Linked DNA regions of Saccharomyces cerevisiae S288C. The gene in region 1 interacts genetically with each later gene. Each region holds a gene or a part of one and is shown in the gene's direction. Other genes may lie near its edges. The genes, in order: RDR1, YLR036C, MAK32 and RDS1.

Evidence for each region.
Region 2: mutations in RDR1 (region 1) and YLR036C together harm fitness more than expected from each alone (negative genetic interaction), as found in Saccharomyces cerevisiae (one large-scale study listed by BioGRID).
Region 3: mutations in RDR1 (region 1) and MAK32 together harm fitness more than expected from each alone (negative genetic interaction), as found in Saccharomyces cerevisiae (one large-scale study listed by BioGRID).
Region 4: mutations in RDR1 (region 1) and RDS1 together harm fitness more than expected from each alone (negative genetic interaction), as found in Saccharomyces cerevisiae (one large-scale study listed by BioGRID).

What each region holds. Positions count from the first base shown.
Region 1 is NC_001147.6:1,049,655-1,053,491, forward strand, and holds RDR1 (Rdr1p), read left to right. Parts: upstream 1-1,635; coding exon 1,636-3,276; downstream 3,277-3,837. Other genes in the region: AMF1 (Amf1p), read left to right, coding at 1-1,404. UniProt on the Saccharomyces cerevisiae protein: Transcriptional repressor of multidrug resistance genes, such as PDR5. Required for growth on non-fermentable carbon sources like lactate or glycerol.
Region 2 is NC_001144.5:220,978-223,753, reverse strand, and holds YLR036C (uncharacterized protein), read left to right. Parts: upstream 1-1,621; coding exon 1,622-2,233; downstream 2,234-2,776. Other genes in the region: seripauperin PAU23, read left to right, coding at 695-1,069.
Region 3 is NC_001135.5:150,976-154,440, forward strand, and holds MAK32 (Mak32p), read left to right. Parts: upstream 1-1,861; coding exon 1,862-2,953; downstream 2,954-3,465. Other genes in the region: PET18 (Pet18p), read right to left, coding at 3,037-3,465. UniProt on the Saccharomyces cerevisiae protein: Necessary for the structural stability of L-A double-stranded RNA-containing particles. Necessary for growth at 37 degrees Celsius as well as for maintenance of the killer plasmid.
Region 4 is NC_001135.5:309,200-313,956, forward strand, and holds RDS1 (Rds1p), read left to right. Parts: upstream 1-1,758; coding exon 1,759-4,257; downstream 4,258-4,757. Other genes in the region: ADH7 (NADP-dependent alcohol dehydrogenase), read left to right, coding at 1-956; AAD3 (putative aryl-alcohol dehydrogenase), read left to right, coding at 4,691-4,757. UniProt on the Saccharomyces cerevisiae protein: Zinc cluster transcription factor involved in resistance to cycloheximide.

The sequences.
Region 1 (3,837 bases):
CTGTGCTCTGCCCAACTAATGACTCAGGCAGGACTTGGACAATCATTAGCGCCGCTTCACATCATCGGTAACAGTTTTGGAACAACGAATGCTGGACAACTTAGTTGGTTTGCTTCCGCATATTCGCTAACTGTTGGTACATTCATTTTAATTGCTGGAAGACTCGGAGATATCTTCGGACACAAGAAATTCTTTGTCCTTGGCTTCTTTTGGTACGCACTTTGGTCCTTACTTGCTGGGTTTAGCGTCTACTCTAATCAGATTTTTTTTGACTGCTGTCGTGCATTTCAAGGCATGGGTCCGGCCTTTTTGTTGCCAAATGCCATTGCGATTCTCGGACGCACATATAAGCCAGGAAGAAGAAAAAACATGGTCTTTAGTCTGTTTGGTGCTTCAGCACCTGGTGGCTTCTTCCTTGGGGCTGTTTTCTCATCCATGTTGGGTCAACTGGCGTGGTGGCCATGGGCTTACTGGATAATGGGTATTGCATGCTTTGTTTTAGCTGTAGCAGGTTACTTTGTAATCCCTCACACCCCCATGCCAAGCCGCGATGCCTCATCTTTCAAGTTGTTGGAACGAATCGATTTTGCAGGGTCAGTTACCGGCGTTGTTGGATTAATTCTCTTTAATTTCGCTTGGAACCAAGGCCCCGTTGTGGGTTGGCAAACTCCATACACATACGCTCTTTTGATAGTTGGTACCTTTTTCTTGGTTATTTTTGCATATATCGAGTCCCGAGCAGCTTTCCCTCTGCTACCATTTGCTGCTCTTTCTAGTGATACTGCTTTTGTACTTAGCTGCATAGCTGCGGGATGGGCCAGCTTTGGTATTTGGATATTCTATACATGGCAGTTCATGGAAGACTCAAGGGGCCAAACCCCCCTTCTTTCTAGTGCACAGTTTTCACCTGTAGCAATCAGTGGATTTTGTGCAGCCGTGACGACAGGTTTCCTTCTAAGCCATACACCCCCAAGCACAGTTATGCTTTTTGCGATGACAGCTTTCACAGTCGGAACTATATTGATTGCTACGGCCCCCGTTCACCAAACGTATTGGGCTCAAACGTTTGTGTCAATCATTGTTATGCCTTGGGGAATGGACATGTCCTTTCCGGCCGCTACAATAATGCTTAGTGACTCGATGCCACACGAACATCAAGGTCTTGCAGCCTCTTTGGTTAATACGGTGGTAAACTATTCGATATCGATAGGTTTGGGTATTGCAGGTACAATTGAATCTAGAGTAAATGACGGAGGTGCCAAGCCTTTGAAAGGATATCGTTGTTCGTGGTACATGGGCATCGGGTTGAGCGGACTTGGCATTTTTGTCGCAGCAACGTATGCATGGAGCACTTTTATGAAGTCTAAAAAAAGGATCTCCGAAAAGCAGCATTTTATAGAATAAGTTCATATATAGAGAAATACTTCATCGTGGTATATAACCCAAACTAATAGAAATAAATATAGTACGATCAAAGTGATAGAGAGGAGCCAGTATATCCCGTATCGTGCGATAAATATGAAAATTACAAGAGGCCATTCTCGAGTGAAAAGATACATTATTTTTTCAAGTAGAAACCTGAAAGAACTTCAGTAAGATAACTTAGCGCACACTTTCCTACTTTAAGCTCACCAAATGGCATCCCCAGGATCGACAGCATTACCACACAAGCGACAAAGAGTCCGAAAGGCTTGCGTGCCCTGTAGGGAACGTAAAAGGAAATGTAATGGCAAATCTCCATGTGAAATGTGCGTTGCCTATGGATATGTATGTCATTATATTGACGGTCGTGTCCCTTCGGCATCACCTCAAGTGCAACAAGTAGGTGAAACATCTCCTGATACGGAGAGCAGACCTTTTGTTCTTCCGGGTATACATAGAAACGAACAACCGCAGCCTATAAATACACAGAACGTTACAAGTCAAAACATTGTAGATCCAACTAAGTCTAGGTACACGATCCAGCACTCTGCAGTTGCTTTCCCCCGCTGTCTTGGTCTCGAACTCCGATCAACTAATCCTCCACGCCTACATTCCTTCGCTTGGCATTGCGGAATCAGACCGGAAGAAAATCCAAACTCACATGTCCTTCTTTCTGATTTAGTTACAAAGGAAGAGTATTACCGTATCTCAAAAGTTTATTTTTCAGTTGTTCACCCGATATTTGATGTTGTTAATCCAGAGCAACTGGCAAAGAATGTTGAAAAATACTGGGATGGCGACGTAAAAACCTTAGAGTATGGGGCTGTTATTGCAGGGGTGATAGCTTTAGGATCATTTTTTATGGGAAGTCTTGGCCATCCCCGAGAGATGGATATAGTACAATATGCCAAAGGGATCCTTGATGACCCGACTTTCAGTCGCATTCCCACGGTGGAGCAAGTCTCCGCATGGGTTTTGCGCACCATTTACCTGCGAGCCACTTCGAGGCCCCATGTAGCATGGTTAGCTAGCTGCGTAACCATCCATCTTTCTGAGGCAATTGGCCTGCATCATGAGATTGACAGAGAGGATATAGCGATATCGAACAACGTTCCACCAAAAAGAACTACTGTAGTGAGCGAACACACTAGAAGATTATTTTGGTGTGCATGGTCAATCAATACCATTCTTTCATATGACTATGGGCGCTCAAGTGTTACGCTGAATAGAATTACTTGCAAGCCAGTTAAGGAGACGGACGGTAATTTTACAGCTCATTTAGTCGCGTTAGCACACCTGATTCCCCAAGACAGCGTGAACGCAAACGCAGCGCAATTGTTGCAGGCCCTGGCGGCCGTTCATGAATCACCAAACGCACATCCGTTTTTGTCGTTGACCAAGGGTGATATATGCCTCTCTTTGTATAGAAGACTTCGTTTGCTGAATCATATTCTTGATAAAAATGTTGTTTTACAAATAATTGATATCGGCAACACTGCGCTATCAGCAGCATACGCTCTTGTAAAACTGGATCAAGCATGGTGGAATGTGTTGAGCACCTCATTCCAGTACGTCTGTGTCCTTCTTGCCATCGACACACCGGAAAGTCTTTCACATGTTGCTACTGCCATGAAAACGTTAGATAATATTACTCAAATTCTCGGTACACGTATTGCTTTTGAAGCACAAAAGACCGCAAAACTGCTTCTTGAGGATTCCATGAAAAAAAAAAGACAAGAAATTCAGCAGCTTGAGCAGGCAACTCACCAGAGATCTAATCTTGAAACTACTCACCTACTCGATATTGACTGGGATGCTTTGCTAGATCCATCAGACACGTTAAACTTTATGTAAAAGAGTATTATAGATTATGTGTATCGAGAAGCAAATTGATTTATAATTAGAGGGAATGGAATTGATGTTTAATACCTGCTTACTATATTTTATCTTTGATAATTGCGCAGAAAGTAATATATCCGGTATTTGAAAATAGGAAATTTAAAGAAATCCCGTCACGCCTGGAATGAGGGGTGAAACCTTGACTGATATTATATTCTTTTCTTGGACATAGTGTCTGAACCAAATGCAAATTGCACTGCATTGCACCAAATTGATGGTTCAAGTTCGATCTATAAAAATACGAGAGAAGGTCTGACTGTTTATGTCAATACTCAAGAGGCTCAGGAACAGTGTTAAAGCTTGGAAGTTCAATTCATTAAAGAAAAGTTGATAACGTCAGGTGGAAAACCGAAAGATAAAAATAAAAGCAAGTCAAGATTTGAAGTATTGCTGAGCGAAATTTTGTTTGAGTGGTCCGGAAATTTTTATACACTTTATTAGTATTTGGTTTAGTGTAGGTGGGAAAGCTTAGAACGTATGTAGAAAAACATCCCTGAAGAGTTCTCTAGATCTTAT
Region 2 (2,776 bases), on another chromosome or scaffold:
GCAATACATACAGCAATTGCAAGACTTGTGATTTTAATCCAAAAGAAACTTCCCTGGGTGTCATGAACCCAATCAATGGCCGTAACTCTTCGTATGGTCAGTTTATAACTCTCAATCACGTTTCCTCGCTCATACCCTAACAGGTACGACTCCTCTGATCATATAGAGGGATTTTAATGTTTCTGATTTGGGAAACATTCAATTTTTCTCCTGACAACCGTTTAGTGTCAAACATTGGATATTGCCCTCGTTCAGAGGGCACAGAATAAAATTTGATTTCTGGTTCATTTTCTTGGCCAAAGATTAATTGAAGTTGTCAAGGCATGCCAAAACTTCCTTTAAAGGTATCATCCCTGTACCGAACATTCCTGTGCTCCTGTATATATCATAATAAGATATAGGTAGTACAAAGGCGCGGATCCGTATACGAGATCTATAAAAAAAGCATTGTTGAAGAAAGGGCAACTGCATATTTGTAGTGGTGAAGAGTATGGGATAGGGGAGCCCAAGTAAGAGAAATATCAGCAGTGAAATAGCTATTCAACAATTTATCTGTTCGTCCGTCGCTTATTAAAAAACGGCATATAAATAGAGCAGCTTTGATTAACTCTTTCCGACAATTTGGCATTGTTATTTACATTCGAGTGAGCTCACATCTTCACTAAAAAGATCTACAAAAGTTCAATCGAAAAAAATGGTCAAACTAACTTCAATTGTTGCTGGTGTCGCTGCTATTGCTGCTGGTGTCGCTGCTGCCCCAGCCACCACTACTTTATCTCCCTCTGACGAAAGAGTTAACCTGGTCGAATTAGGTGTCTACGTCTCAGATATCAGAGCTCATTTGGCTGAATACTATATGTTCCAAGCTGCTCATCCAACTGAAACTTACCCAGTTGAAATTGCTGAAGCTGTTTTCAACTACGGTGATTTCACCACTATGTTGACTGGTATTCCCGCTGATCAAGTCACTAGAGTCATCACTGGTGTCCCATGGTACTCCACCAGATTGAGACCAGCTATCTCCAGCGCTCTATCCAAGGACGGTATCTACACTGCTGTTCCAAACTAAGCCGATGGCCTCACAATTGGTATTTAGCACTGGATTGCTTTACGAACGGATAAAAATAATTATGATTTGACGGTAAGAAATAATTAGATATACATACGTATACAAACATATATATGTATTACAGGTACTTTTAATCAGTTGCACTGTGTTCAAAAAGATATTTTTTAAATGCGGGGGGAGATTCAAGTTTTGTTCTCGCATTTAAATTTCTGCATACAATTTGTACTTACAAGAACCTTATACGATTCCAGTTGAGACACGTACTGATATATTAATGATCATATTAAGAATCTTAATGCTTAAAACTTCTCTTCAATTCAGCATTTGATCTGTGGCAAGTTAATCTTGTTCCATTTAACGTGGATTTGACTTGCCATGATCTTCCCATAAAGCGGTAAATAGCCTTTTTGGTAAAAAATTGAAAGTTTAAAAGTACGGAACAAACTTTCGAGTTTTTCCTCAAAGGCCCTTCACAACACACGAGAACTAAAAGGTAGTTAAGACAGGAACTTGCCGTTAAAGTTTACTTTCTCCTTCAAAGTATAGGAAATAATGAAAGAGGCAGAACTTAGTGCGACAGAAAGCCAAGATGAGATCCCAAAGTCTAATTCCTTATTAATTATAGAAAAATTAACAAAGGCCGTTTGTAGCCTTTATTTTATAAATTGTTTTATGGTGCCATCAGTAGATAATTTGATTGAAAAGTACCCAAAAGCAATCATCATTAAGATCATAGATATGATTCTGGGGGCGGTAACAATTTCCCTCGTTATTATAGTTTTCTTTTTATATCGAAAGAACGGTCATTTTAAAAATGAAAATAAAACAAAGCCAAAGAGATGTTCGAAGGTAGTATGTCCCAGCTGTGCTGCCAGAAAAAAGTATCCTAAATGGTTTCAGCTAAAGTATTTGTTATTGGTATCAATGACTGCTTTCAGCTTCTACTTTTGTACCAAAATTAGGTTTTTTTTTAAAACTGACCAAACTATTAATTTACACCGACTATCACAGCTATTTAGATTGCAGCTAGGCTGGATATGTACTACTGCATTATTATTCTATTTTTACGATGCGTTGATATTACATAGCGGGTTCATTGAAGGGTATAGATGTGTCAATGGAAAGGGAGCGATGTCTGAAGGTAAAACCGGGCAATTAAATTGAGGATTTTACCTAATATGTATTATTTTGGAATTAGCTTGAAATGTGAAGGTATCATTTTACTGTTGCATATTGGATAATTGGTAAAGTTACGCAAAGTATTCAATATCATCTTCTTGCATTACTCGACCATTGAGAATAATTTACTATATAGTTTGAATACGAGATTACACCTCGACAAAAGTAGTTCTATTATTTGCACGTAACAATTATCAGAAAATGGGTGAACTTCGTATTAATTGTTGGGATTTCGTTGTTGATATTAGGTATACAAAATATACTAGAAGTTCTCCTCAACAGTCTTGGAATTCACGAAAGGGAGTTGATAGTTCTGATAATAAAATCACTTTGTCTTCCTTTCTTTTATACTTTGTCATTCATTATTCTACTACATTATCAATTTGTTAGAATGAAACTCTAAAACATCATCTGTTTAGTAGTATTTGCGTTACTAGTCAATTATGATCGTTGACTCTTATTCTAACAGCTAGTAATATTACCCCCGTTACGTATGAAAGTGTTGGAATAAAAATCCACTATCGTCTA
Region 3 (3,465 bases), on another chromosome or scaffold:
ATACGAGATGTACATCTATATGTGATATTAGCATTTACACAGCAATCCTATATCACTATTAATGGCCACTTGTTCCAAAAAGTATATATTATGAAGCGTATTATTATTTTATACTCAGATAGCTGGTGCGATACGTTCGCAGATTTTGAGCGCAATGCAATGAGTATGACGGAAAGGTTCACTCATAATTTCAATAACTCAAGTTGTTTGAATTTAAAATACATTCCCCGTTAGATAAGCTATAAACATTGTTACTTGCGCTTGCGGCACATGTAATGTAGTTTCTTTCTTTTTCCAAGAAAAAAGAAAGCCCTGTAGGGGGCTCGAACCCCTAACCTTATGATTAAGAGTCATACGCGCTACCGATTGCGCCAACAAGGCTCTTTAATTATGAAAAATTACGTTTAATAAGTGACTTAAAAATATAAATACTGTTACTAAAATGTGAACTAAAACCTCAATATTATTTTCTGATCACTTGATGAATAGCTGGTAATTGTTGGATTCCATTGTTGGTAAAGGCTATAATTTTACGTATATAGAATTGTTGGAATAAAAATCCACTATCGTCTATCAACTATAGTTATATTATCAATATATTATCATATACGGTGTTAAGATGATGACATAAGTTATGAGAAGCTGTCATCGAAGTTAGAGGAAGCTGAAGTGCAAGGATTGATAATGTAATAGGATAATGAAACATATAAAACGGAATGAGGAATAATCGTAATATTAGTATGTAGAAATATAGATTCCATTTTGAGGATTCCTATATCCTCGAGGAGAACTTCTAGTATATTCTGTATACATAATATTACTGCCTTTATCAATAATGGAATCCCAACAACTATCTGAAAATTCACGTGATTCTCATGTGAGTACATCAGAAAACAACCACCTAACAACCGTGTTTGAATGTTGATCTGAAAACAAAAATTAATCTCTCGTACTTATTATGGATATTGTATTTTCTCAAAATTCCAAATGATTTTCTTGTTAGATGGTATTCACGGTCATCGGAATCTCAGTTCAATATCACCAATTTGCTTATAAGGTTTATGCAAGATAACATGTTTGGTCTTGTTCCCAAGTATAACTTAAGAAAAAAAAATTACAATCCAAGAAAGGTAATACAGAATTCATAGCAATAATGGGGTCCATTTTCAATAGATAATGTACCTGGAAGAAAAGGGCTGACTAGGAAACAAAAAGAAAAACAAAACTATGATACTCCATCAAACATAGGGAAATTTACTCGAATATGAAAAGTACAAATCTGTCAAAAGCACATCGTATATTGTCTTGGTTCCGCTTTTATTCAGAAGAATTACTGAAATGAAGAGGAATGACGTAATAAACAAACAACGATTCTGATATCAGAAAGACATCTTGAATATTCCTATGTAGTAATTAACTATCCCAGTACTTACAAACATAACTTGACGATGCACGCTACGATTTTTGTGTGTTTAAACTTTTGTTGGTTGGGACTCAAGAAGATCTTCTCTGAGATAATTGTAATTAAATGTACTTTAGGAGTGTTCATGTATAATTTGCCTCTGCAAAAACTTAATAATGTATTTTAAAACTTGCATGTTGCTCTGTGAATCTGAATGTATGATAATGCTACGATTACTCTAGGGAACTTCCTTTTTACATTTAAAATTTCCGAGATCCTCAGCTGACAAATAAATGTCATATCAAGACAATAAACGGTAGTGCTAAAGTAATTGCATATTAAACAGGCGCGACTAAAGCTTTCATCCCTTCTATTATTGCATAACCTGGCTATACATGAAAACACTTCTCACATTTGATTTAAGAAGTTTACTGTTCTAAGAAAATAAAGAACGTGATAATGATGAATGAAGAGGATTCTACAGAAACGAAAAGCCTAGTCATAACTAATGGCATGTTTATCATAGACGACATCGAGCGTAGTAAATATAATATTCACTATAAGAATGTCCCAGGAGGCGGAGGGACTTTTGCCATTTTGGGTGCATGCATAATATCTTCCGGCAATGTCACATCCAAAGGTTTGAAGTGGATAGTGGACAGAGGCTCTGACTTTCCAAAGGAAGTTATAAGGGAAATAGACTCATGGGGTACTGATGTGAGGTTTCGAGATGACTTTAGCAGATTAACTACCAAAGGGTTGAATTATTACGAGGGAAGTGATGATTTGAGAAAGTTCAAGTTTTTGACGCCGAAGAAGCAGATTAACGTCGATGACTGGATTTCCACATTTGGGCAGAAGATAATTGATGAAATGCATGCGTTTCATTTGCTATGTTCTGGGTCTAGATGCTTAGACATAATAAACGATCTGCTACGGGTGAAAAGTTCAAAGGGCACAAAACCAATCGTGATTTGGGAGCCATTCCCAGATCTTTGCGACTTTGATCATCAAAATGACATTAAAAGTGTAATGCAGAGGAACGATGTTACGGTAATATTATCTCCAAATGCCGAAGAATCAAGTCGCTTATTTGGTTTAAGTAGCAAGGAACCGACTAGTTTGGAAGAATGTCTAGCATTAGCGCATCGTTTCGATGATTTCATGGATGAAAACAATATGTGTATTCTACGATGCGGTGCCCTCGGAAGCATATCGGTAAGTGAGAAGTTTAAGAACGGACGAACCTATGACCATTTCCCCGCCTACCATTTCAAAACTCAGTCTAAAGTACTAGATCCTACTGGCGGGGGAAACTCGTTCCTTGGCGGCTTTGCAGTTTCTTATGCCCTAACGAAAAGCTTAGATATTGCTAGTATATGTGGGAACATCGCTGCAGGCGCAATAATTGAACAATTCGGAATACCGAGGTACGATCCAATTGCTAAAACCTGGAACGGAATCACATTCTTGGATAGACTGAAATTTTACCTTTCACAGTCCGGTCTTCAATATAATATAAACGATCTTTACAAAAGTCTAACACGATGATCATATCAGCTTGTTCATTGCTCTTATTTTTCTGCAAAAATATACATATATATATATAAGTAAGTGTTATATACTACTTGAGATTAGGCGTTGTAACAAGATTCAAAAAATTCGAACTCGAACTGTGAAACCTTCACAAATATGCTTTCCACTTCTTCGACGGGAAACTTGTCAACTTCAGCCTTTAGAAATTCACACCAAGTTTGAAAATGCTCACCATCATGTAAATCAATCCATTTTTGATATTTCCAATGCAACCCTGGGGCTCTAGGAGTATCACGAGCCCATCTCCAATAGAGTTCCTCAGCAACCCATAAGCTGGTTACTAAGGATGGCCATGTAATTGAGGCGTCCTTTCTCAGCTCATCTAAGAAATTAATATACGCATCAACGCCGGGGATCGCTTTATTGTCAAAATTATCTCTTTCTTCCTTGGTGAGGGATGGTGCCAATAATTCTAAGCAGTCATGAAAGTATGAGTTTTCATCATTAGAAAAAAATCCAATCTTTTT
Region 4 (4,757 bases), on another chromosome or scaffold:
GTATCTGCGGATCTGATTTTCATATAGCCGTTGGTAATTGGGGTCCAGTCCCAGAAAATCAAATCCTTGGACATGAAATAATTGGCCGCGTGGTGAAGGTTGGATCCAAGTGCCACACTGGGGTAAAAATCGGTGACCGTGTTGGTGTTGGTGCCCAAGCCTTGGCGTGTTTTGAGTGTGAACGTTGCAAAAGTGACAACGAGCAATACTGTACCAATGACCACGTTTTGACTATGTGGACTCCTTACAAGGACGGCTACATTTCACAAGGAGGCTTTGCCTCCCACGTGAGGCTTCATGAACACTTTGCTATTCAAATACCAGAAAATATTCCAAGTCCGCTAGCCGCTCCATTATTGTGTGGTGGTATTACAGTTTTCTCTCCACTACTAAGAAATGGCTGTGGTCCAGGTAAGAGGGTAGGTATTGTTGGCATCGGTGGTATTGGGCATATGGGGATTCTGTTGGCTAAAGCTATGGGAGCCGAGGTTTATGCGTTTTCGCGAGGCCACTCCAAGCGGGAGGATTCTATGAAACTCGGTGCTGATCACTATATTGCTATGTTGGAGGATAAAGGCTGGACAGAACAATACTCTAACGCTTTGGACCTTCTTGTCGTTTGCTCATCATCTTTGTCGAAAGTTAATTTTGACAGTATCGTTAAGATTATGAAGATTGGAGGCTCCATCGTTTCAATTGCTGCTCCTGAAGTTAATGAAAAGCTTGTTTTAAAACCGTTGGGCCTAATGGGAGTATCAATCTCAAGCAGTGCTATCGGATCTAGGAAGGAAATCGAACAACTATTGAAATTAGTTTCCGAAAAGAATGTCAAAATATGGGTGGAAAAACTTCCGATCAGCGAAGAAGGCGTCAGCCATGCCTTTACAAGGATGGAAAGCGGAGACGTCAAATACAGATTTACTTTGGTCGATTATGATAAGAAATTCCATAAATAGTCTATATACGTAATATTTTTCAGAATCTCTTAAAATGCATGTCAAATCTCGGAATTTATCATGACCCATTACATAACAAGAGAAAAGTGGTTTGCATTGTATGTATACCTTAAACCAATTCTTCGGTAGTCACATGACCTATATATAGGGACATTCATTTCTTGAATAGGATATTTCTTAAACTTAAGGGAAATTTTGATGAAAATTTAGAATCTCTCGACAACAGTGCAGAGCAGTAAGTTTTATTCAATACGAAATGTGTGCAGGGTTTTACCCATTCATGTCGAGTACGTCTACATTTGTTCTGCGATTTAACTTAATACTTAGCCTACTCATATGTATCGAAGCCAAACTATTAAATCTGAAAACTGAATACCCATTAAGTAGGTACATTAATGCAATTTTCGTCCGAAAGGTAGAGTGTTAATCATGCTTTTACTTCGAAATCTAGAGTCCGAGCATGTCTGATGAGGTCCTCTTAAAGCACTTCAATTTTAAAAGAGAAGAGCGCAAATTTTTACAAAGAATGCCTATATTAATATACTGTGCTATCTAAGAGGATGGTTCAATGGTTTGAAATGAGTTGAAAAATAAAGATTTACATAGTAGCGTGTATTCTTCACATTTTTGCATTCGGTAGATTTTCTACTCAAGACCCGTGCAGATCACTATTACACTCATTATTACAAGTCATTGAGAACGAAATTTTGACATCATTACTAATAATGTTACTCATTAATACTTTATTAATGTAAGCGGTAGATAAACAAATGAACATGAAATTGGCTGCTGAAATGCTCTGATGGATTCGATTACAGTAAAAAAACCTCGGTTAAGATTGGTTTGCCTGCAATGCAAAAAGATCAAACGGAAATGTGATAAACTGCGGCCTGCTTGCTCGCGATGCCAACAAAATTCATTACAGTGTGAATATGAAGAGAGAACAGATTTATCTGCCAATGTTGCAGCAAACGACTCTGATGGATTCAATTCCTCTCATAAGCTCAATTTCGAACAGCAACCTGTACTTGAAAGGACTGGGCTTAGATATTCCTTACAAGTGCCTGAAGGTGTCGTTAATGCTACGCTGTCGATATGGAACGCCGAAGATATGCTAGTTATAGTAGGATTAGTTACATTTCTGGATTATCCTTTTGCTGCGCATAGTCTGGCGCAACATGACCAGTATATCAGGGCACTTTGTGCTTCGTTGTACGGCATGGCGCTTGTTGACTTTAGCAATTATGCTAATGGTATTCCTTGTGAAGACACATCAAGAAGTATACTAGGACCATTGTCATTCATAGAAAAGGCCATTTTTAGACGGATAGAACATAGTAAGCAATTTCGAGTTCAGTCTGCCGCCTTAGGGTTATTATACAATGCATTTTCAATGGAAGAAGAAAACTTCTCGACTCTTCTACCGTCACTCATCGCTGAAGTGGAAGACGTGTTGATGCAAAAAAAAGACTGTGAAATACTTTTGAGGTGTTTCTATCAAAATATTTATCCCTTCTATCCTTTTATGGACATTTCACTCTTTGAGAGCGATCTCACTAGTTTGCTTTTACAAGACGACAATAATCGTTGGAAAATTAGTACTGAAGTTAAAAATGTGCGCAAAAAAATAGAAACTTTGTCATTACTTACAATAGTAATGGCCATGGCCTTGATGCATTCAAAATTGGATGCAAATCTTCTTTCAATGGTAAAAGAAAATGCCTCCGAAAGTGCCAGGAAACTTTCTCTTTTATGTCATAAACTATTATGCCTCCTGGATGTATTTCGCTATCCAAATGAGAACACTTTTACTTGCCTTTTATATTTCTACGTTTCAGAGCATTTAGATCCCGAGAGTCCCGATTGTGTACTGAGCCCCACTAACTTGCTTACTCTGCACCATCTTTTAAATTTGTCCATGACCTTAGGTCTTCAATATGAGCCTTCGAAGTACAAACGTTTCAAAGATCCAGAAGTGATAAGGCAGAGACGGATATTATGGTTAGGAGTTCAGTCATTACTTTTTCAAATTTCTCTTGCTGAAGGTGATGCTGGTAAATCAAATAGTGAATATATGGAGGCATATTTAACAGACTTCGAAGAATATATTGAAGCTTCCTCAGAGTATGAAAAAAGTTCTGCGAGTGAATCGAACGTGCAAATGAATGATATTGTTTGGAATAAGTACAAATTTCACGTCATTTTGAGTAAACTAATGTCTGATTGCACTTCAGTTATACAACATCCGCAGCTTTTCCACATTTTAGGAAATATTAAAAGATCTGAAGATTTTATGGCTGAGAACTTTCCTACAAGTTCGATTTACCAACCCCTTCATGAAAAGGAACCAAATGCGATCAAAGTTGGCAAAAGTACGGTTCTCGATGTCATGGATATTCAAAAAACTGAAATATTTCTTACAAATATTGTGGGAAGTATGTGTTTTTTAAACATTTTTGATGTCCTATCGTTACATTTTGAAAAAAAATGTGTTATGCACTGGGAAGAATATGAAAAGAACTATCATTTCCTTACTTTGAAAAGTTTCAATGCATACTTAAAGCTAGCAGGGTTGATATCTGATTATCTCGAGAATAAGTTTCAAGGGAACATTTTAGAGAGTCGCGGTTATATCATAGATAAACAAATATGTTTTATGCTTGTAAGGATCTGGATGTTCCAATGTCGTATTTTGTTAAGGTTTTCATACAAGCAAGAAAGTCAGAAAAAATTGGCCTCTTCCAGTATATCCACTAACGATAATGAAAAAGAAGATGAAATGATTGTCATTTTAGAAAGACTTATTAAACACATTCGTAACCAAATGGCACATTTAGTGGATCTAGCAAAGGGAAAACTTCAAGATAGTTACTTTGGTGCTTACCAAACTGTTCCCATGTTTAGATACGTTGTGTATTTGATCGATGTTGGCGGCTTAGTATCTGTGACAAATGGGTTTTGGGATAAGATTTCCAGTGATGGTGAAATACCGCCAAAAGTACAACAAGCCGTGAGATTGAAATGGGGATTGGACTGCAATAATTCGAGAAGAATCAAACAAAAGTTAATAAGCAGCCAGAGTTTGCAGAGTTTCAATCAAGTTCTGTTGTGCCAGATGGAGGATGCAGTTCTCTCCAGTTCCTTCGCAATAAAAGCCAATACCGCTATGTCCCAAAACACGGCTGAAGAATTTTTCAATATCAGCGAAGAAGAGGCTTTAAATCAACTATTGGAAAACAACAATTTTGATGCCTTCTGGGATTTATTAGGTGAAAATCTGAGCGATATGCCTTCTTTGTGAGAATACGGATATTTGGAAAGGCTAAAAAAAAAAAAACAAGCCAAAAACAAGAAACACTGTTATCCTCCACGTTTTTTCCACTGTTTTAAGACTCGACAAGACGGAAAGATTCCTCACATTTCGCAGTGTTTCTTTTAACCTGCTCGTCAATTTGAAAAAATGAGCATGGTTAGGCAGGCGGAATGTAATAGGTGCGGTGCGTATAAATAAGTATCTCGGCCGTTCCTCTATTGCGCTCGGCCGAGATGTCCTACATGCATAAAATAGATTAAAAAAAGGGATCACGATACTCAAATATGCATATAATAACAACAACACACTTTGCGGTAAATAGAAGGATAATATCGTAATCTTTTGCTGGTTTCGATGATGACTTGAAAAAATTCAATTACTCTTTCGATCATCTAGAAGAAGCATATCCATCGTGCTTAAAATGATTGGGTCCGCGTCCGACTCATCTAGCAAGTTAGGACGCCTCCGATTTCTTTCTGAAACTGCCG